Linked DNA regions of Yarrowia lipolytica. The protein of the gene in region 1 purifies or fractionates together with the protein of each later gene. This does not show direct contact. Links are inferred from orthologs where the notes say so. Each region holds a gene or a part of one and is shown in the gene's direction. Other genes may lie near its edges. The genes, in order: YALI1_B30214g, YALI1_C22857g, YALI1_A05052g and YALI1_C10730g.

Region 1 (4,801 bases):
TGCACTGCCAATGCCTGATTCCGATGAGACCATGTTTTCTCTCATCAAGACTCTCCGAACTCAGGTAAACCTGGTCTCTCATATTCACGACATTGATGTCAGCGGAGTGGCTCCATTGACCTGCCTTACTCCCATCAAGGACTTTACATACGAGCAGCTCACAGCTGAGGACTCTGGAGAGCCTGGTCCCGAGGTTCTATGGGATGCTCTGAGTTGTGCCGAGAAGAAGGACGGCCGATTCTTCGTTGTCAGCCGTGATATTAAGCAGGAGGAGCCCACCCAATGAAATTAACAGTACCGGTACATACAATGGATATACAAGTAGATTAATGCATACAAAACACGCACACACACACACACACACACACACGCACGCGCTTTTCTCATCTAAGACTACATTGTACATACATTCCAGTATGTACTGTAGGTACAGTATGTACTACGATAGTGGAAGGAACAGAGACCTGCTTATCTATATCATGGATCTATAATTTACATAATGTTTAAAAGTTGAAACCGGGGTATCCTCGTCGCTTCATTCGTTCTCGCATCTCGGATCGGAACTGGTTAACTCTCCAGCCAAAGTACAGACCAGACAGGGATCCACCCAAGTGTCCAGCATAATCGTACCGACCCCATCTTCCAACAATACCTCCAACGTTCATGGCGATGGAACCGAGGAAGAACCACCATGCGCCAAAAGGCAGAGGAACGAAGAAGAAACCAATAGTGGCGTCAGGAAAGACGGAACAGAAAACACCAACAACGGAGAAGATGGCTCCCGAGGCACCCAGAGACATAATTGCTCGGCCGAGCAGAGAAGGCACGAGCAGGGAGGTGAAAGAAGAGACAACAACAGAGGTCATGTACATGTGGCAGAACCAGGCAGATCCCATGGTCATAGCAACAGGGATACCAAACTGATAGAGCACAAACATGTTAACGAAGAAATGCCAGAACTCCTGGTGGGAGAAGGCTGATCCAATAAGCTGAGCAGGTCGGAAACCGGGCCCGGTCTTGAGAAGCATGTTCTCGAACATGAATCGGATGATCCAGGGGTTACCGGACTTCCACAGCAAGAAGAAGGCAGCATTGACACCGATGATGGCAGAGATCATCCAGTCAGGCCGCTGCGCAAACACGCCAATGGGTGTATACTTGAACAACAGAGGAAAGGCAAAGTAAGAGACAACAATGGTACCGATAGAGAAGGCCAGAGCTTTGGCCAGAATGTATTTGGTGGGATCACCTCCGGGGTAAATCCATCGGGCACCATCGCCGTAAGCGAAGTTGGTGAAGGGTCGAGCCGTGAAGAGGCCCTTTGTGTTGTATGCAAACGTCTTTGTATCGTTCCTCAGGGCATTGAACTTGCCTCGGGTCTCCTTCAGCATGTCAGCAATGCCACCCCGCTTGCCAAGTCGTTGCATCTGCCGGAACATGGTGTTGATCTGGCCAGGGGTAGGACCGACCACATTCTTGACAATGGGGTTGGAGGTGGAGCCCAGAGTCTGAGTACTCTTCCAGAAACCAGGAGCCAGTCTCCCCAGAACGATGTTGCCTCTGAAGAAGTTCATGGGTATGGTTGCGATAGAAGAGGTGTGGAGGTGGATGTTGCTGCAGACGATGCCTATCAAGTCTACTTGAGAAAAGATACTGCCTTATTAGTGGCGATGAGGGCAGCAAAACCTAATCCACAGATAAGTGATGTACACTTCTTACTGTATAAGTATGTGGCCTTATATAATGAGGAGTATGGCATGGTGAGACATGGTAATATTCATTCTTGCATCCGAAATTACCAAATATATTATATTCACCTGGCACCATTCAACTCCCTGATTACTAAGCAATCCATGCATTGGGCGAAAAAAATGTCCCAGCAGAAATTTATAGAGTTTATGCATTGTAAAAATCCTATCCCAAAAAAATATTCAGAAGTCTGTTACTCTTCACACACACAACAATGGGCCAGATCAAGAAAAAGCATACCGCTGGAGCCGCTCGAAACTTCATCACTCGAACTCAGGCTATCCGAAAGCTACAGGTCTCGCTTGCCGACTTCCGACGGCTCTGTATCTTCAAGGGTATCTACCCTCGAGAGCCCCGAAGCAAGAAGAAGGCCAACAAGGGATCCACAGCTCCCGTCACCTTCTACTACGCCAAGGACATTCAGTACCTTTTGCATGAGCCCGTTCTCGACAAGTTCCGAGAGCACAAGACCTTTGCCAAGAAGCTGACCCGAGCTCTTGGTCGAGGCGATCTTCATGATGCCAAGCGAATCGACGAGAACCGACCTCGATACCATTTGGACCATATCATCAAGGAGCGATACCCCACTTTCATGGACGCTCTGAGAGATATTGACGATGCTCTGTCCATGCTGTTCCTTTTCGCCGCTTTGCCTGCTTCCGACGACGTTTCTGCTCGACTTGTTTCCGAAGCCGAGGCCATTTGCACCCAGTGGATGGCCTTTGTTGCCCGAGAACGACTTGTGCGAAAAGTGTTTGTTTCCATCAAGGGAGTCTACTACTCTGCCAACATTCGAGGAGTCGAGGTCATGTGGCTCGTGCCCTTCCGATTCCCCCAGAACATTCCTGCCGATATTGACTTCCGAGTCATGCTGACATTCCTCGAGTTCTACACCACCCTACTGCATTTCGTTCTCTACAAGCTTTACAATGAGAACGGTCTTGTTTTCCCTCCCATCATCAACTCCACCAAGCTCAGTGGTGTTGGAGGTATCAATGCGTACGTGCTGGAGTCTCGACAGAACGCCGGTGTTGTCCCCCAGATTGAGGGTAACTCCGAGGCAAAGGTCGAGAACGTGTCTGCTGCCGTTCTGTCCAAGGCTGCTAAGGCTGATGCCGGCGAGGAGGAGGAGGTTGAGGAAGAGGAGGAAGTCGAGGACGACGGACTGGACTCCTTCTCCGCCGAGAAGGGTGACGCCCTTGCCCAGCCCACATTCAACTCTACCGCCGGTCAGCTCTTCTCTAACTTCACTATCTTCATTGGTCGAGAGGTTCCCCTTGATATCATTGAGTTCCTGATCATCGCATTTGGAGGAAAGGTCATTTCTGAGTCTGCCATGGACGAACTCATCGACAATGAGGACGAGACCCGAGGTAACGTCATTGATGAGAAGACTCTTAAGCAGAAGTTCAATCTCGCCAGCGTCACTCACCAGATCACAGATCGACCCACTCTTCGAGAGAAAGTCCCTGGTCGAACGTACGTTCAGCCCCAGTGGGTCTTCGACTCCATTAATGAAGGAAAGCTTCTTCCCGTTTCTGAGTACGCCCCTGGAGAGCGTCTCCCTGCCCATCTTTCCCCCTGGGGAGATGCTGGTACTTACGATCCTACCGCTGATGTTTCTGATGCTTCTGATGATGATGAGGATGATGAGGACATTGAGGTTGCTCCTGAAGACTACGACAAGGACGATGAGGAGGAAGAGGCCGAGGCCGAGGCTAAGCAGCACCAGCGAGAGCTTGAGGCTGAGGCTAAGGGCACCAAGGCTGACCCCGCTGCTGCTCCCAAGAAGGCTAAGCGAAAGGCTGATAAGATGACCAAGGCTGAAAAACAGGAAGAGGAGGACAAGAAGCTCAGAATGATCATGATGTCCAACAAGCAGAAGAAGCTGTACAAGAAGATGCAGTACTCCAACGACAAGAAGAGCGACCGAGAGGCCGAGCTCAAGAAGCGACGAAAGCTCAACGAGAAGAAGGAGAAGAGATAAATTGGCACTGGGCCACGGCTTGGAAATAAAATAAAACCATAACTAATTGATTGATAGAATATGATAGTGTGTGGGGTTGTACTTGTACAGTAGTTGTACTGTACCGGTACAATACTAGCACAGGTGTATGTAGGTGTTCATGTTGCTATTTTTGAATATAAATAATAAATGGTTATAGTCTAATTTATTAAGTGTTGTAAGTCTATGTTGGTGAGGAAATGCAAGGCACAGAGTACAGATTACAGTACTCGTAAAAGTACTTGTACTTGTGTAAGTGCATCTGATTATCGAATTCGAGTGTCGAAAGCGTTTCTATCGGGAATCTCGAGATTCATGAGTCCATGCAATTCTGTCTTGACCTTCTCCAGCTCCTTGACGGCCTTGTTGAGAGCCTCAATGTCCGTCAAATGCCCTACATCAATGTACACCTTGACCAGCCACTGTTTCGAAGGGTCCAGCAGCTTGATGTTCTTTGTGGTCTGGTCCAGAATATGAATACGAGTCAGCTGAATCACTGCATTGCCGTACACAAACTGAAAGCCCTTCTGCCAATACTCATATTGGAACTTGTAGGCGAGCGACTGTAAAAATTGAAAAGAGTCACCCTTCTTAACGCTCCATGATGAAATGCTCTGTGATGTGGTCTTTTGTTTTCCTGCCTCGGGCATCTCCATGATCTGAAAGTGCCATTGTCGATTTGCCAGATTATGGATATCCTCCTTGGAATCCTTGCTCTGCACGTAACTGATGATCTTCTCTTTATCTTCGTTCTTGTTATCGTTGGTGACGTGGATTCTGTACTGATCCAGTTGCCCTCCTTGTCCTGGCAGGATTTTAGGGGTGTATTTCTGTGCTGGAGCCCACACCATGGTGTGTTGTAGGATAGTTATGGGGTCCATTCCTGTCAGCGAAGCGAGCGCATGGAGGCATATCTTGAGTTGTGAGTTGCTGATTTTGGCGTAAAGCGATATTTGCTGCATTGTATGAAGATGTGATGGCTAGCTGCTGTTGTCTTGATGAGTTGGATTGGGGTGGTGTTGCACTTTAGGTTGGTGATGTTGGAGT
Region 2 (3,925 bases), on another chromosome or scaffold:
GAAAGATCTCTGGGACTACTTGTACTGATCTGGAGATCAGGTGAAAGTGGTCAGAATATCGTGGTCAACTGTGCGGATCGAACGTGCATTGTACGACGTAACCAGGAGGCAAGTATGGTGTGTACTGTACTGTACTTGTAGACTAGAATTGTGTCCTGAAAAGACTGGCATGTGTCCAATGTCTGTTATCCATGCTAAAGTACGGGTCAAGCCAGTCAAGTTCATGTAGAACCGACTGAGAGAGTCTGCTTCTTTCTGAACAAAGACGTCTTGGTCTTGTCTTCCTGCCCCGTCCTGCTTCACTTGCCTGGATTGGCGGCAGCTCAGCCCGGCGGCTTAGTCCGAGCAGTACCATTGCGATCTCCTTGTCTCTGTAACCTCGTCACTCATATCCCCTCAACGAGCACGCCGGATAGAGCATCTGGCAGCTTTCAGTCTCGAAAAAGGCACATGAGAGAGTAAGAGCACGGAGAGACCACGGTTGGTAGGTTCCACGGGTTCTTCTCTAGCGTGCTACAGGTACGAGTACACGTACATACTGTACAGTACATACATACATACCACCTGAAAGCGGCGCTCTGGAGTATCTCACTCTGAAGGCCCTTCGTTGTCACTCTGGAGTATCTCACTCTGAAGGCCCTTCGTTATCACTCTGGAGTATCTCACTCTGATGGCCCTCCACTGTCACTCTGGAGTATTTCACTCTGTACCTCTGTCGTCAGAGACCACCCTCATGGCTCCTGGAGACGTTCTGAAAAACATGTTCAGTACAGAGCCATATGGTACCCGTGAGAGCAACACACAATCTCCCTTCGTAATCGCGTCAACCATCTCATCCACTCTCCCCGGACCGTACCGTCCCTCCACAAACTCTGTCACTACTCAGATCCCAATCACTGCGCCAAAGGTAGGGTTAATCGCAGCATGAGAGACGCAATCAGCAAAAAAAATTGGACCTGTGCATGATGCAAGTTCCCTACTTGTAGAATAATAATAATAAAAAAATAAAAAAAAAGTTGGTGCGTGACCTTGGTCGATTGTGTATCTATGAATGACGGTACTAGGAGTCGTGGAACTATCATGAGCTCTTCTGATCCTGTCTAGCCCCTCATTTGGTTTTAGCGTCTGTTGAAGATACCCCAAAGCCCATATTAGTGGCCGTAGTACCACATTGGTTCGTTTGTGAAAAAAAAAAAAAAAAAAAAAAAAAAAAAAACTTTCAAGCGTAGTTAAATATTTTGCGAATATTTGGGTGGGTCTGAACAGAGGTACAGCCAGCACTGGTAGATATATGGTGACTGGAGCGTGAAATCAAATAAGGAAATACGAATAGGGCATTTCCAGTGACCAAATCCCACCGACAATGGAGATATTGCAAAACCAGTAGTCCCCCTTCCAGCCCAATTGCTCCATTTCGAGTGGCTTGGAGGGACCAACTAATACCTAAATCATTTAACATTAAATAAACATTAAACAAAAGTCCCAACTACTTGCTAACCATATTTGTTCTAAAAACTCCCACTCCCAACTAACCTAGTTGGCAACTAAAGGCCAAACCTAACCTGTCTCCGAAACGCTCCACAGAACGCCAATCAAAACGAAAAAAACACCATAATACTACCGCGTTCTCTAATTTTCACCATTCACCACCTTTTCTCTTCTCAACCCCGTCCCCCCGTTTCCAACCAGACCCAAGTGGCCAAATCAGACCCACTGTTTCTGTGCACAAACGGGCAAACTCTAACCGCTACCCAAACCCAGAAAAATTTTTGAAAGCCTAAAAAGATCTTCTACCAAAAAAATATTCCTTAGTGCATCTTGACATTCATCACCACACAACCAGTGCAATAACCCATATTGCACCACACAAAAAGGACTTTGAAACACAACACATACACATAATGGGCTTTACTCCTAGAGGTGGACGAGGCGGAGGCCGAGGAGGATTCGGCGGCGGAGACCGTGGTGGACGAGGTGGCCGAGGAGGGTTTGGCGGACGAGGTGGTGGACGAGGTGGATTCGGCGGAGACCGAGGAGGACGAGGAGGCGCTCGGGGCGGCCGAGGTGGTGCCCGAGGTGGTGCCCGAGGCGGTGCCCGTGGTGGTCGAGGTGGTGCTCGAGGTGGTGCCAAGGGCGGAGCCAAGGTCATTGTCGAGCCCCATCGACACGGCGGTGTCTTCATTGCCCGAGGTAAGGAGGATCTCCTTGTCACCAAGAACCTGACCCCCGGTGAGTCTGTCTACGGCGAGAAGCGAGTTTCGGTCGATGTTCCTGCCACCACCCCCGATGGCGAGGCCACCAAGGTCGAGTACCGAGTGTGGAACCCCTTCCGATCCAAGCTGGCTGCAGGTATTCTCGGTGGTCTCGATGAGCTCTTCATCGGCCCCGGATCCAAGGTCCTTTACCTTGGTGCTGCTTCCGGAACCTCCGTTTCCCATGTTGCCGATGTCGTGGGCCCCACCGGTACCGTCTACGCCGTTGAGTTCTCCCACAGATCCGGCCGAGACCTGATAGGCATGGCCAAGAAGCGACCTAACGTCATCCCCATCATTGAGGATGCTCGACACCCCCAGAAGTACCGAATGCTTGTCGGTATGGTCGATGCTGTCTTCGCCGATGTTGCCCAGCCTGATCAGGCCCGAATTATCGCCCTGAACGCACACCTGTTCCTCAAGGACCAGGGAGGAGTCATCATCTCCATCAAGGCCAACTGTATCGACTCCACTGTCGAGGCCGAGACCGTGTTTGCCCGAGAGGTTCAGAAGCTGCGAGAGGAGCGAATCAAGCCTCTGGAACAGCTGACCCTGGAGCCTTACGAGCGAGACCATTGCATTGTTATTGGCAAGTACATTCGAGCTAACAAATAAGTGTCTTCCACAGGATGATGCGGCTATGGGGTGCTAGATTGGATATAAATAATAATTGTATACTTTGATTGAGACATGTAGGATGGATACAGGAACTTGTACGACGGGAACATGGGGTGGGACCAGGGAGCCAGGGCACCACGAGACCACGGATCACGGACTCACTATTGTGCGAATGTTGATCTACTCCAATTGGACGCAGATTATGCATGCCATTTTGGAGGATTATAGAAAATGAGTTGATGAGTAATACAAGTACAATTACTTGTACTGGACGCATGTTCAAAGTATTTGCGCTCGACTGTGGCAATTGACACTGGACAGACTGAATACGAAACTTGGATAATCCCACTTGCATCGCTTAGTAATCACGAACATACAATAACCAAGTGTATTTCAACTAAATACTTAACTAAGCTAATGTGGACGACGATGTTTGTATTGATTGTAGTTTTTTTTTAGTTCAACAGAAAACGTTGAATTTTTAATACATATGGTAAAAGTGGCATTTTTGTTTCACTTGGTCTAGTTTCAGATCTCCATCACATCGGGAATATTCTTTCAGAGTGCTCGTTTCTTCAACTAAAGCCAACTAAAGCCAACTAAAGCCAAGTACACTTGGAATGTACTGTAGCACTGCCCGATCTTGTTTGCCACCCTCTTGAAAAGCACACCACTGATGATCTCCGACCTGTTGGAGGTATATATATTAGACACTCAGATGGTCGAGACTTCATCAGCGAGTGCTGATTTATTAAGACATGTCTCGTGCGCAGCAACTTGGTCAGTTTTTTTTCTCCCCCCCTCCCAGTTTTTTTCCGGTTTTTTCATTTATTTATTTTGTCATTTCTTTAATTTAATTTAATTTAATTTAATTTAATTTTTTATCCATTTTTTATTCATTTTTTTAAAATCATTTAAATACTTTTCTTTCTTTCCTTTTCAGTTGGTCATTTCATTTCACGATAAAGGTCACATGACCCAGATAGTAGGCCAAAAAACACAAAGTTGGTGTGAAAAAGCGGGTTTGGGCGGGTTTCCAAAAAAGAAAAGGCATA
Region 3 (6,174 bases), on another chromosome or scaffold:
CCCTCCCACACGTTCTCAGTCATGCCCCACAGATCGTGTCCGTAGATGTAAAAGGTGGCAATGAACGCACCTCCCACGGCCAGACAGATGAGCAGACCGAAGATTCCACCCAGCCATACCTGGGTAACAAGCCGTCGATACACTTGCAAGTCCTTCTGGGACACATTATCGCCCAGACCCTGGTTGAGGAACGCCAGAAGCACGGAGATGATAATCGCCGTCTCAATGGTCTCTCGGAAGATGATGAAGAAGACCTGAACCGAGAAATAATTCTCGAAAAAGTCCGCGTAGTTGACCATGTTGTGTTGTGGAGTACAACCTGGAAAGAGTGAGTCTGGTAATTAAAAGCGACTTTTCAAAATAAGCTCCGTAGGGGTTAGAGTTGGGCGGCGTGGTGGTGGACATTTATCAAGGGGCAATCGGGGGTTATAGGGGCGGAATTTGAACGCAAAAAACAGATCATCCCACTACTAACGCGACAATAAATAGATTCAAAACATCTCCCGTTCAATTTGGCCGTCCCTATAGCTCTTTAAACGCCTCTCTTATCTGATGTTGCTCCATCTGATAACTGCACAACCTAATTATCCGGAGCCTATTTTTCTGCGTATAACCGTAACGGAGGAAACAACAAAACGGTGGCAACAGCTCCCAGAATCGTCGCAAACCGGGAAGTAAAAGGCGAAAATTCCTCACAGTCACGTGAGAAGTTTGTGCCCGTCACATGATGTCCAGGGTTCCGTCTTGGGTTCCTGGTACCCTGTTATTTCGCCATCCCATCACTCCGCCACCCCACACACCCATAACCCTTGACTAGCACGGCTCATTAACAAAAAGGCAAAAGGGAAGCATCGTCACGTTGCGGCTAATTGGAAGTGTATGGAGGAATCAATTTAGAGAAGTTTGGCGCAGTCCGATCAAAGCACAAGTGGCATAGAACGACTCCTCAGAACGAGCCAATCAAAAACGGTATGTTTTTCTCCCACATTGGACTCTTATTAAGCAACTAGAACTCCACCGAAACTGATTCGGAGCGAATCTACCTTGCACCTGAGTTCCGTTATAAAGTGGAATGTTCATCTCCGACAACAGAACTCACACAACTTGCCCAATTGAGCTCCGATTGGGCCGCCAGAAATTTCAGTACATCTGCTGTCCCTCGCTGACCATTTCTATATATAAATATTGCCATTGTACCCCGTCAAAACAGACACAGACTAGAACTAGGCATTGCCAAAGTTTACAGCAATACCCTGCACTCTTGCAACAGAACATACACTAAACATGCGCGACAATGGTTTAGAACGGCGCTCGGGGTTTCTCCTTTCCTTTTTATCCGCATTAGTCACGTGCGGCCAAGACTTTCCACCCTCAACTGCATACTATCTGCGTCCCCGTTAGCCACTTTGAGTGCAACTACGGTGGGTCTGTTTAGTCCAGATCGTCTTCTCAACAGGGTTGTATTTTGTAGTTAGTTGCAAGGAGGTAAAAGACTATAAACCCGAAAGACCTTGTTTGTGAATGCGAATCCACGTGAGTTCACGTGGTTGGCACGTGGCTGTATGCCTACGACTGTTCTGGTCAGGCTGTCACTTGTGCATTCTTTTTTTTTCCTTTCTTTTGTCGAGTTCGTTAGCAACATGCACTCGGAGTCCGAGCGGAGCTACAAGCACTCACCAAGGAACCACAAGCCACAGTGGCGCAGCCGAATGAGACACGGCGCACCGATCAGATAACGTCATCTGATAAGAGGGGAAGAGCTTGTTCGTCAGTGCCGTGTAGTTTCAGGGCCGTTTGGAGTGTCATACGTTGAAAACTGTAGTGCATAAAAGACAGTCGTTGTGTCAAGGCTAATCCTCTTTAGTTGAATGTTTGTTAGGAAAGGGTGTTCTGTGATACCGCAAGTTATAATTTTTTAACATATATTTCAGAAATACTAGGGGAATTTCAAGCCTGAAATGACAAAGAAAGTGTTCAGATTGTAGAACTGAATGAACAGAACGAATTGGGACCATCTTTTCCATTCATTTGTACACACCCACTCGATCCAGCAGAACCGATTGGGAATGCCACACTCAGACAATTAGTTAAGATTAGTTGGAATCAAGCGCACTTATTTGTTATGTTTTTTATTAACGGAGGGATCTCTCAGAGAACTCATTGATCTAACTAAGGCAATATGAACAAGACAAATTGTCATAAAGAGACCATTCCAAACCACACCATATCCTCTATCATTCCCCTGGGACTCTTCCTACGCATCCTACGACGTGGTTTGGTTCTCCCTATTCTGCTCACCATCTAGCCCTAACCTCCATGCATCTCAATGCACGTTTAAAAATTATTTTTCCAGGCTGAATATTTCCGTACACACTCACACCATGGCTATCAAACAGAATGCGAAAAAGGGCGGCAAGCCTGGCAAGCCAGGTGGAAAGCCTCCTGGTGGGGGCAAGCCTGCTGGCGGCAAGAAGGTGTTTCGAAAAATCAAAAACGGCTTTGTGGAGCCTCGAAAAGCGAAAGCGGCCAAGGGTACGACTGTGGCAGCCATGGACATTGTTTCTGCTGCTGATCTGAGTGCCAGCGAGAGCGAAGACGAAAACAAGTTGAAGGATTTCGCCAAGTTTGACGATGATGAAGAGGAGAAGGAAGACAAGGGTGGCAAGGCCGAGAAGGACGTCAAGAAGGATGTCCAGAAGGACGTCAAGAAGGATGTCCAGAAGGATGTCCAGAAGGATGTCAAGAAGAGTGTCAAGAAGGATGTCCAGAAGGCTGGCAAGAAGGATACCCAAAAGGATGTCAAGAAGGCTGATGCTAAAACTAACAGCGCCATTGAGGGTTTCGCACAAGCCACTAAAGGTGAAGAGGCTGAGGTCTCTGTGCCTGCGAAGGAAGTTAACAAGGCTGCCAAGAAGGAGGACAAGGATGTGAAAAAGGACACTAAGACAAAGGATACTGTCAAGACTAAGGTCAAGGCTGCTGTTTTACCCGAATCTGACGCAGAAATGGACAACTGGTCAGATGCCGAGTTTTCAGACGGTGGGGAAACCATCGATCTTCCTGCACCCGGAACAAAGCCTCTCGACATTAACAAAATGAACTGGAAGAAGGTTGAGCTAGGCGACAAGAAGATGGACTTTGAGGGTTTCTACGGACTTGAAGAGCTGGACGGTGTTGATATTGTGGTCAACAACGGCCTTCCTACTTTTGTTGTAGGGGAGAAGCCTGAGAAGAAGAACTCTAAGAAAGAGACCAAGAAGGCCGAAGTTAAGAAGGATAAGTCTGGGGATGCCTCTGAGCCAGCCAAGAAGAAGGCCAAGGTTGCCAAGGACGGAAAGGACGGCAAGGAGGTTGCCAAGACTCAACCTAAACAGAACAGCAAGAAAAAGGCCGAGGGAAACGCATTTGAGGCCCTCAATAGTGTGCCCGACGACATTCATCTCCCTGACTGGACTCTCAACGGCGAGCAGCTTAACTACTCCCTCATCCAGGGCCTGTATGCTCTTGGCTACAAGTCTCCTACAGAAATTCAGAAGAAGTCGATCCCACCCATTCTGGCGGGTGATGACGTGATTGGAAAGGCCAGTACCGGTAGTGGTAAGACGCTGGCGTACGGTCTGCCGATTTTGCATCGATTTTTGGAGGCTGAGAAGTCAGACAAGAAGGAGGAGGTCGAGGAGGAGGTCCCTGAGAAGTGTACTACCAAACCCAGACCTAAGAAGGTGACCAAGATGACCGGACAGGAAGAAAAGAAGGACGACGAGGAAGAGGAAGAGCGATTCGATATGTACGATGAGGCTCCCGAGCCCCGCTTTGATATTTCCGACCGACCTGCTGACCTTCCTGTGCTTGACAAGGAGCGAGAAGACCGAGAAAACGAGGTGGAGATGGACGAAGAGACCGAAAAGGTGGAGAGAGACATGTCTTCTGTTAAGCCTCCTCAGGCCATTGTTTTTGCCCCCACCCGAGAGCTTGCTCATCAGATCACCGACCATTTGAATGCCGTGTCTCAGTTCTGTCCTATTTCTGGACCGCGAGTCATGGCTCTGACCGGTGGACTGTCTATCATGAAGCAGCGACGTCTCATGAAATGGAACCCTGCCATCGTTGTCGCCACCCCAGGTCGATTCCACGAGTTCATCACCGATACCGACGGCATGGTTGATGTGTTTAAGCGAACCAAGACTGTGGTAATGGACGAAGCCGATCGAATGCTTCAGGATGGACACTATGAGGATCTTGACAAGGCCCTGGATCTCATTGGACGAGGAAAGGTGGCCAAACGACAGACATGTGTGTTTTCAGCCACCTTCCAGAAGTCGCTCATGTTCAAGCTGGACAAGAAGCGAAAGCAAAGAACAGGTCTGGCCACCGATCAGGAAACCATCCGATTCCTCGTGTCCAAGATGAAGTTCCGACAGTTCCATCCTACTTTTGTGGACGCCAACCCTGCCGAAGTTGTCGCTCGACAGGTTCTGGAGAGTATCGTCGAGTGTGGCGCCATGGAGAAGGACCAATACCTATACTACTTCCTGCTGACCTACCCCGGCAAATCCATCATTTTTGTCAACTCCATCGACTCTGTCAAGCGTCTCACTCCCATGTTGCAGAACCTCGAGCTCCCCGCTGTGCAGCTGCACTCCAACATGATCCAGAAGGCCCGTATGCGGTCCCTAGAGCGGTTCCGAGACAACAAGAACGGTATTCTGGTTGCGACTGATGTCGCAGCTCGAGGTCTGGATATCCCCAATGTGCACCATGTTGTGCATTACCACCTGCCTCGAACTGCAGATGTCTACGTGCATCGATCTGGACGTACTGCTCGAGCGGGAAACGAGGGTGTTTCTGTGCTCCTGTGTTCGCCCGACGAAGCGTCGGGACCTCTGCGAAAGCTGCGAGCTGCCCTGTCACGTGACAATGCTCTTGCGAAGCTGAAACCTCTGTCCATGAACTACGACGTGCTGGCTCAGATCAAGCCCCGAGTGGAGCTTGCCAAGGAGTTGGCGGATTCGGTTCTGGACTCCACACAGGTTGGCAAGCAGGATTCGTGGCTCAAGGAGGCTGCCGAGGACCTTGGAGTCGACTTTTCCGACTTTGAGAACGATACCCACGATCACAAGAGCCATGTGCGAACCAAGCTAGGCAACAACAGCAAGAAGGGCATGAAGGTGATGAGCAAGGACCAGATGGCTCGTACTCGAAAGGAGCTTGAGAAGCTACTTAGTAAGCCTCTGGGACGACATTCGTCCAAATACATCACTTCTACTAACGGAATCAACTTGGCCAAGATGGTTCTGGATGGAAAGTCGCATGACAAGATTATGGGAGTGGCTCCTCAGACTGCTGGAGAGACCCTGAGAAAGAAGCGAAAGAACTAGAAAGCGAATAGCCGAAGTTCAATGCGGACCAAAACATGGAGGAGTTTATAGAGCAATCATAATGGATAAGATGTACTGTTCAAGTTCAACAGTAGTATACCGTACAGGTGCTGGTTGAGTTCTACAACCACTAGTTTTGTGCGTAATCAAGACAAATGATGGGAACAACTGGTTACCTCAACAATACTTTTGCACCTACATATCTCTAGGACCGCTCAATTGTTCAAGACTGTATTGTATTTTCATTAGTTACATCCCTTTAACATAAGAGAAGGAAATGAACAATTCCTTCAGTAAGAGCGACGTACAGGCGATTAATAGCTATAAGTAGCCCACAAAGCCTCTCATTCAGAGTCATACATTTTCCGTTTTATTAAATCATAATTGCATCCCATCCATACTTTACAATCCCAGCGGCAGCGTGCTCTAGGTACCGGAGACACACTAACACACTCTCAATGACATTTCTTAGTGCTGCACACTATTCGGTTAGAACCGTCCCCGACCTCTAGGTCCACCTCGTCCTCTGGGACCACCTCGGCCTCTAGGTCCTCCACGGCCTCTCATAGGTCCGCCTCGTCCTCGAGCCGCACCTGGTCCACCTCTTGCCGCGCCAGGAGCACCAGGCTCAACCTTTCTTCTCTTGGCCTTGGGAGTATCATCAATCAAAAGAGTATCCAAGGGTAGCGAGTCGGGGAGAATGAAGAACCGGATTGTGTTGCCTCGAATGTTGATGTAGTCGAGCGAGGTTGGGGGTCGGTTCTTCATGGTCATCTTCACATTCTTGAGTGTCGTG
Region 4 (5,018 bases), on another chromosome or scaffold:
TGATTCGGACGAGTCCCAGCAAACCAATGACTCGTTCATTTCGTCTCTTTCGCCTTCACAGGCTCTCTCTTCTCCTTCCCAGGGAGTCGATTTATCTCCTTCGCAGCCCTCTATCGACTCTGCCGAGTTTGAGGGCTTTGAGGAGTGTCTACCCGTCAAGAGTGGTCGAAACAGCTTTTTGTCTACTACCACAGCTATTCCTCGGCCGGATTCGTCTCTCTCGTCTCGTTCTTCTCTTCAGCCCACTGTTTCTAACGGTTCCAAGCAGGATCGGTTTTATGAGGTTCGAGAAAGCATTCTGAGAGACACCGCCCCGAGTGATCGGTCTGATGGTGATACTAGGTCGTCGTCGCTGGATCTGCCCAGAAAGGCGTCTCGGTCTTTATCTCTGAGCAGATCATCTGGTGATCTCCGTTCAGGTGAGAATAGTCCTCTCAAACCGTCCATGAGTGTTCGGAAGCTGCGAACCGGTCTTCGAAACGGCTCAGATTCCCCCGGACGGGAAGTTTCGCCTGTTCGAGCTGATAATCCGTCCATTGAGCGATCGTCGTCGCTGATCAGAGGCTCGGACTTTACTTTGCACGGTAAAAAGTTTTCTGTTGTCGAGGTCAATCCCCAATTTGCCGCCACTCCCCACCATAAGAGAACCACCAGCAGGAGTGAGCGCAAGGAGGAGAAGAAGGGGGAGAGTGAGCCCTAGGGCTGACAAAACAATAGCATTATTTATTGAATTAAAATGATTTATGAACTTGTAGTATCGTAGATGCCAGGACAAGATGTATACAGTTTAGCACAACATAGACGTACCTACTAGGGAGAAGCTGTGACTTGTAACTTGAATTGAAATGTTCACAGACTGCGGCTACACACTTATAATTACAGATCCAATCACTTGGGCTTCGCCCGAGTTCGTTCACCTAAGAATAAATTAATAATATACAACAGTGGATTACCTCTGTCCCTCCTTCTTTCTCTGGAAATGCAGGTCCGTCCGGCTGCCTCCGACGTTGATGATCTTCGGACAGCCATCTCTGTCCTTTTCCAGTCGTGTGCATTCAAAGCAGTAATAAGCGTCCGCCACCGCCTGTGTTAGTATGGTAAGCGAAAGTAATGAGAAAAAATCCTTAAGAACGCGATATAGTCACTTCACAGTTGATCTCGAGGGTCCAAGAATCATTCACGAGCTTTTGGTGTTCATTGACCACATCGGAGCTTAGAAACCCTCCTCAGACACGTGTGTCTCATCTCCTCGGCGTCTCCATCTCACCGCACTCAATTCACGCCTTCAGCAAGTCTTCCGTGGGTGCCTTGAATGTACTCACATATCCGTCGCAAATAATACACCGATCCTCCAACTTGCCAAAACTGCACTCATCACAGACCTTGACCAAGGTGGTAGGTCGCACAAACGAGTCGCAGACAGGGCACTTGCCGTCGCACTTTTCACACAGACGGCCCACACGAGTGCCGCTCTGCTTCATGCACAGCACCAGATCGGGATGGTGTCTAGACATTGTGTGATTGTTCGTGTCAGAGTGATACCAAAAGTCGATGCCAGAAGTTTCACTATCGAACTTTATCAGAGCTCCCTAAGAAGGTGGCAAAGAAGACAGTACGACACTAGACGATGTGGAGCCTTTGAAAAGGAGGAAGATTTAGCAGGCTTGTTTATATAGCTTCGAATAGCCCCCAGTATCACTTCATGGTTGAAAGCTCTTCCACCGTGCATTCTGTAGAGTTACTATACATCTTCAAGTATTAGTTACACTCTATAGATGAGACTACCAAGTCTTTTCAACTAATAAAGACTACTGACTTGGTGATACATTTACCACCATTAATTCCATGATATCCAAAAAACAACAACTGCAGTCACATATTTCTCAGTAATGTGTATATACAACCACACCCAGTTCCCCTCCATCTACTACCTCTCTCTCCACAAGTGTAGAACGTCCCCTTCCCTTACCTTCCACCAATCACCTAGTGTTTGCATAATCCATGCAGAGAACGGAGATCACGTGACCAAAATGTATTACGAAAACGGCACGTTGCTAAAAGGTGCCCTATTTTTGGCTGGAGAGTGTTTTATTCAAGAACTGTGTTTGCTTACTAACTACTCTGGCCAACCACAAACGAGACAATTTAGGTTACTTTCTCTAAACTGCTCATAACCTGAAATAGAGTTTGAGAAATCTGCAAGAGCCAAAAAAATTAGAAAGATTGAAAGTCTGATCACGAATTTTTCAAGCATAACTACACATTCACAATGTCGGCGAGTGACGATGTGAGTATCGATGGAAAGATGGAAGCGCCCAAGGGAGGTTCTTTTGGGCTGGAAAGAAGTGCAACAGAGTGGAAAAGTGGAAAAATCCGGATCTATATGGCTTTTGGCAGGTACTTTACCGATCACTCAAGGCGGTTGTTAGACAGAGGAGGTGGTGGACGGATTTGTGACGAGATAAAGAAGGGGTGAAGCATTGGAAGAGCGATTTCGATGCTATTTTGAATGTTGGAGAAGAGCTATGTGTTTTCCTTGATGTGGAAACTGTACTACAGGCTACGTATGTGGTTGGTACGGCTGTACTGCTACACAGACCTCAGGAATGTGTGTATGCTTCTGTTGGAACTGTCCGCGATACTATGCTATCTGCAGACGCTAGAACATTCAAGCGTGCTCCAAATCTGCTTCAAATCAAATCTCAAACGTCCTTGTCGACCTCGTCCATTCTCCTAGTCTCCATCATGAACGCTGTCCATGAGACGTTCGGCAACACTGTGCCATCACCTGAAAGAAGACTCTATGAACATTTTTTCGAGCTGTTTCGGATTTTACCGTCTACAGTCTCTAAAGGTTCGGTCTGAGTCGGTCTGAGTCGGTCTGAGTCGGTCTGCGACCTGCTATAACTGAACCTGAGCTCTACAATATGCTTTCCGAGTGCGACTAAATCACAAGCTGAACCGAGATATCAGTTGAAACACTATAGATTATTGTCCACCGGCAGTTAGGCTGCCCACGACTGCTCGTTCCTACTAACACAGCTCATCTGGGAAATTCTAAACGACCAATTCTGCTCGTTCAAGCTGAAAACCGGCAAAGGCCAGGATTTCTGCAAGAACGAGTACAACGTTACCGGCATCTGCGAGCGCAAGTCTTGCCCTCTCGCCAACTCCAAATACGCCACCGTTCGACGGGTCAACGGCCGATTATACCTTTACATGAAGACTGCTGAGCGAGTGCACACCCCCAATAAGTGGTGGGAGCGGATCCGACTGTCCAAAAACTACAAGCGGGCCCTGGAGCAGATTGACGAGCATCTCATTTACTGGAATGAGTTCCTGGTTGACAAGTGCAAGCAGCGTCTGACTCGTCTCACCCAAGTGGCTGTTGCTGAGCGACGTATTGCCATGAAGGAGGAGGATACCCATTATGTTGGTGTGGCTCCCAAGGTGAAGCGACGAGAGGCTACCCGAGAGCGAAAGGCTCTGGCTGCTGCCAAGGTGGAAAAGGCCATTGAGAAGGAGCTGCTGGACCGTCTCAAGAGCGGAGCATACGGCGAGAACCCTCTCAACGTGGACGAAAAGGTGTGGAAGAAGGTGCTCGAGGGCGTCGAGGGAGCCAACAAGGAAGATGAGGACGAAGAGGAAGAGGAAGAGGAGGACGAAGAGGAAGAGGGTGGAGAGGTTGAATATGTCGAGGATGAGGAAGACGATGACGATCTTGTGGAGCTGGAGGACCTTGAAAAGTGGCTGGGTGGAAGCAGTGACGAGTCTGGAGACGAGACCGATGCCTCTGAGGACGAGACTGATACCGACTCCGAGGACGAGAAGCCTAAGAAGCGAAAGGCTGCTGCTGACGGTAAGAAGCCCAAGCCCAAGACCAAGAAGCGAAAGGGTCCCAGCGTGGAGGTCGAATACGAGGAGGACAATGGCGAGAAGGAAAAGCAAATGGTGGACTGGTAGATACACTGAGAAGGAGCATAGACGGAGGAAAAATGTAATGTATAGAAATACTGACTTGTTTGAGAGCGTTTGTAGTGGAAAGATGTCAGCTACTTCACTATCTTAAGGAGAGATAAACAGAACGTCTTTGCAGTCAGACATCAGAAGTATGGGTGATCTTTATTGCAGTACTTGTAATCATTGAATTTCTGTATGAAGTCTTGCTTGCTTGACCTATCTCTTCATGACAATGTGAATTGAAGCAATGATTGGGCTCCGATGTTAGGGAGAAACGTGCCTTCACTATTCCAAGTACAAAATTACTAAATAATGGTTGATACGAATAATCATAGGCTGCTATGGACTACGTTTAGAGGGAGATAAACGCCTTAAATAGAGGTCGAGCGACAGTAAATAGAGGTTGAGAGACAAGTCGTAGTACAAGTATCTAAGCAACAACGAGATATGTTTCTAGCTATATATATTTACTTGAGCTGGTGCTCCTTGTGCTCCTTGTCATCTCCGTAAGCTTTTGTGCCGTAGTGACCATTGATGCAGATAATGTCCTGGGGTCGATAATCCTGCTTTCCAGAAAAGAAAACCTCAAGGATCTTCTTGGTGCCCTCGGCATATCGGCCCTGGGCGTCGATGGAAGTTCCGGAGATATGAGGAGTCATGGCGTTTCCTCCCCCGTACTTGTTTCGCATGGTTCTCCAGGGGTGGTCCTTAGGGGCAGGCTGGGGGAACCAAACGTCTCCGCCGTAACCTCGGATCTTACCGGACTCGAGAGCCTCGACAATGTCCTCGGTGACACAAATGGCTCCTCGAGCGGTGTTAACGAGCCAGGCACCATCCTTCATGTGCGAGATGAGCTCTTTGTTGAACAGGCCCTTGGTGGAAGCGTGCAGAGGGCAGTTGATGGTGACCACGTCACAAAGAGAGAGCATCTCCTCGAGAGACTCGACTCGACGACATCCAATCTCCTTCTCAACGTCAGCTGGCATGGCCTGATAGTCGTAGTAGAGCATCTCCATGGGGTCGAAGGGCTTGCATCGCTTGAGCACTCGCTGGCCAAT

What was found.
Region 2: the proteins of YALI1_B30214g (region 1) and YALI1_C22857g purify together in Saccharomyces cerevisiae (affinity purification with mass spectrometry; 4 studies listed by BioGRID, with this or other methods). This does not show direct contact. The link is inferred for Yarrowia lipolytica from reciprocal best matches to the Saccharomyces cerevisiae genes NOP7 and NOP1.
Region 3: the proteins of YALI1_B30214g (region 1) and YALI1_A05052g purify together in Saccharomyces cerevisiae (affinity purification with mass spectrometry; 3 studies listed by BioGRID). This does not show direct contact. The link is inferred for Yarrowia lipolytica from reciprocal best matches to the Saccharomyces cerevisiae genes NOP7 and MAK5.
Region 4: the proteins of YALI1_B30214g (region 1) and YALI1_C10730g purify together in Saccharomyces cerevisiae (affinity purification with mass spectrometry, with the first as the bait; 5 studies listed by BioGRID). This does not show direct contact. The link is inferred for Yarrowia lipolytica from reciprocal best matches to the Saccharomyces cerevisiae genes NOP7 and MAK16.

What each region holds. Positions count from the first base shown.
Region 1 is NC_090771.1:3,018,623-3,023,423, reverse strand, and holds YALI1_B30214g (uncharacterized protein), read left to right. Parts: upstream 1-1,963; coding exon 1,964-3,736; downstream 3,737-4,801. Other genes in the region: YALI1_B30234g (uncharacterized protein), read right to left, coding at 1-45; YALI1_B30218g (uncharacterized protein), read right to left, coding at 504-1,574; YALI1_B30182g (uncharacterized protein), read right to left, coding at 4,021-4,734. UniProt on the Saccharomyces cerevisiae protein: Component of the NOP7 complex, which is required for maturation of the 25S and 5.8S ribosomal RNAs and formation of the 60S ribosome.
Region 2 is NC_090772.1:2,283,700-2,287,624, reverse strand, and holds YALI1_C22857g (rRNA methyltransferase NOP1), read left to right. Parts: upstream 1-1,901; coding exon 1,902-2,867; downstream 2,868-3,925. Other genes in the region: YALI1_C22876g (uncharacterized protein), read left to right, coding at 1-141.
Region 3 is NC_090770.1:502,895-509,068, forward strand, and holds YALI1_A05052g (uncharacterized protein), read left to right. Parts: upstream 1-2,381; coding exon 2,382-5,378; downstream 5,379-6,174. Other genes in the region: YALI1_A05031g (uncharacterized protein), read right to left, coding at 1-299; YALI1_A05091g (uncharacterized protein), read right to left, coding at 5,868-6,174. UniProt on the Saccharomyces cerevisiae protein: ATP-binding RNA helicase involved in the biogenesis of 60S ribosomal subunits and is required for the normal formation of 25S and 5.8S rRNAs. Required for the maintenance of dsRNA killer plasmid.
Region 4 is NC_090772.1:1,070,757-1,075,774, forward strand, and holds YALI1_C10730g (66S preribosome component MAK16), read left to right. Parts: upstream 1-2,269; coding exon 2,270-2,287; intron 2,288-3,042; coding exon 3,043-3,963; downstream 3,964-5,018. Other genes in the region: YALI1_C10675g (uncharacterized protein), read left to right, coding at 1-700; YALI1_C10718g (uncharacterized protein), read right to left, coding at 950-1,084, 1,323-1,514; YALI1_C10762g (uncharacterized protein), read right to left, coding at 4,428-5,018.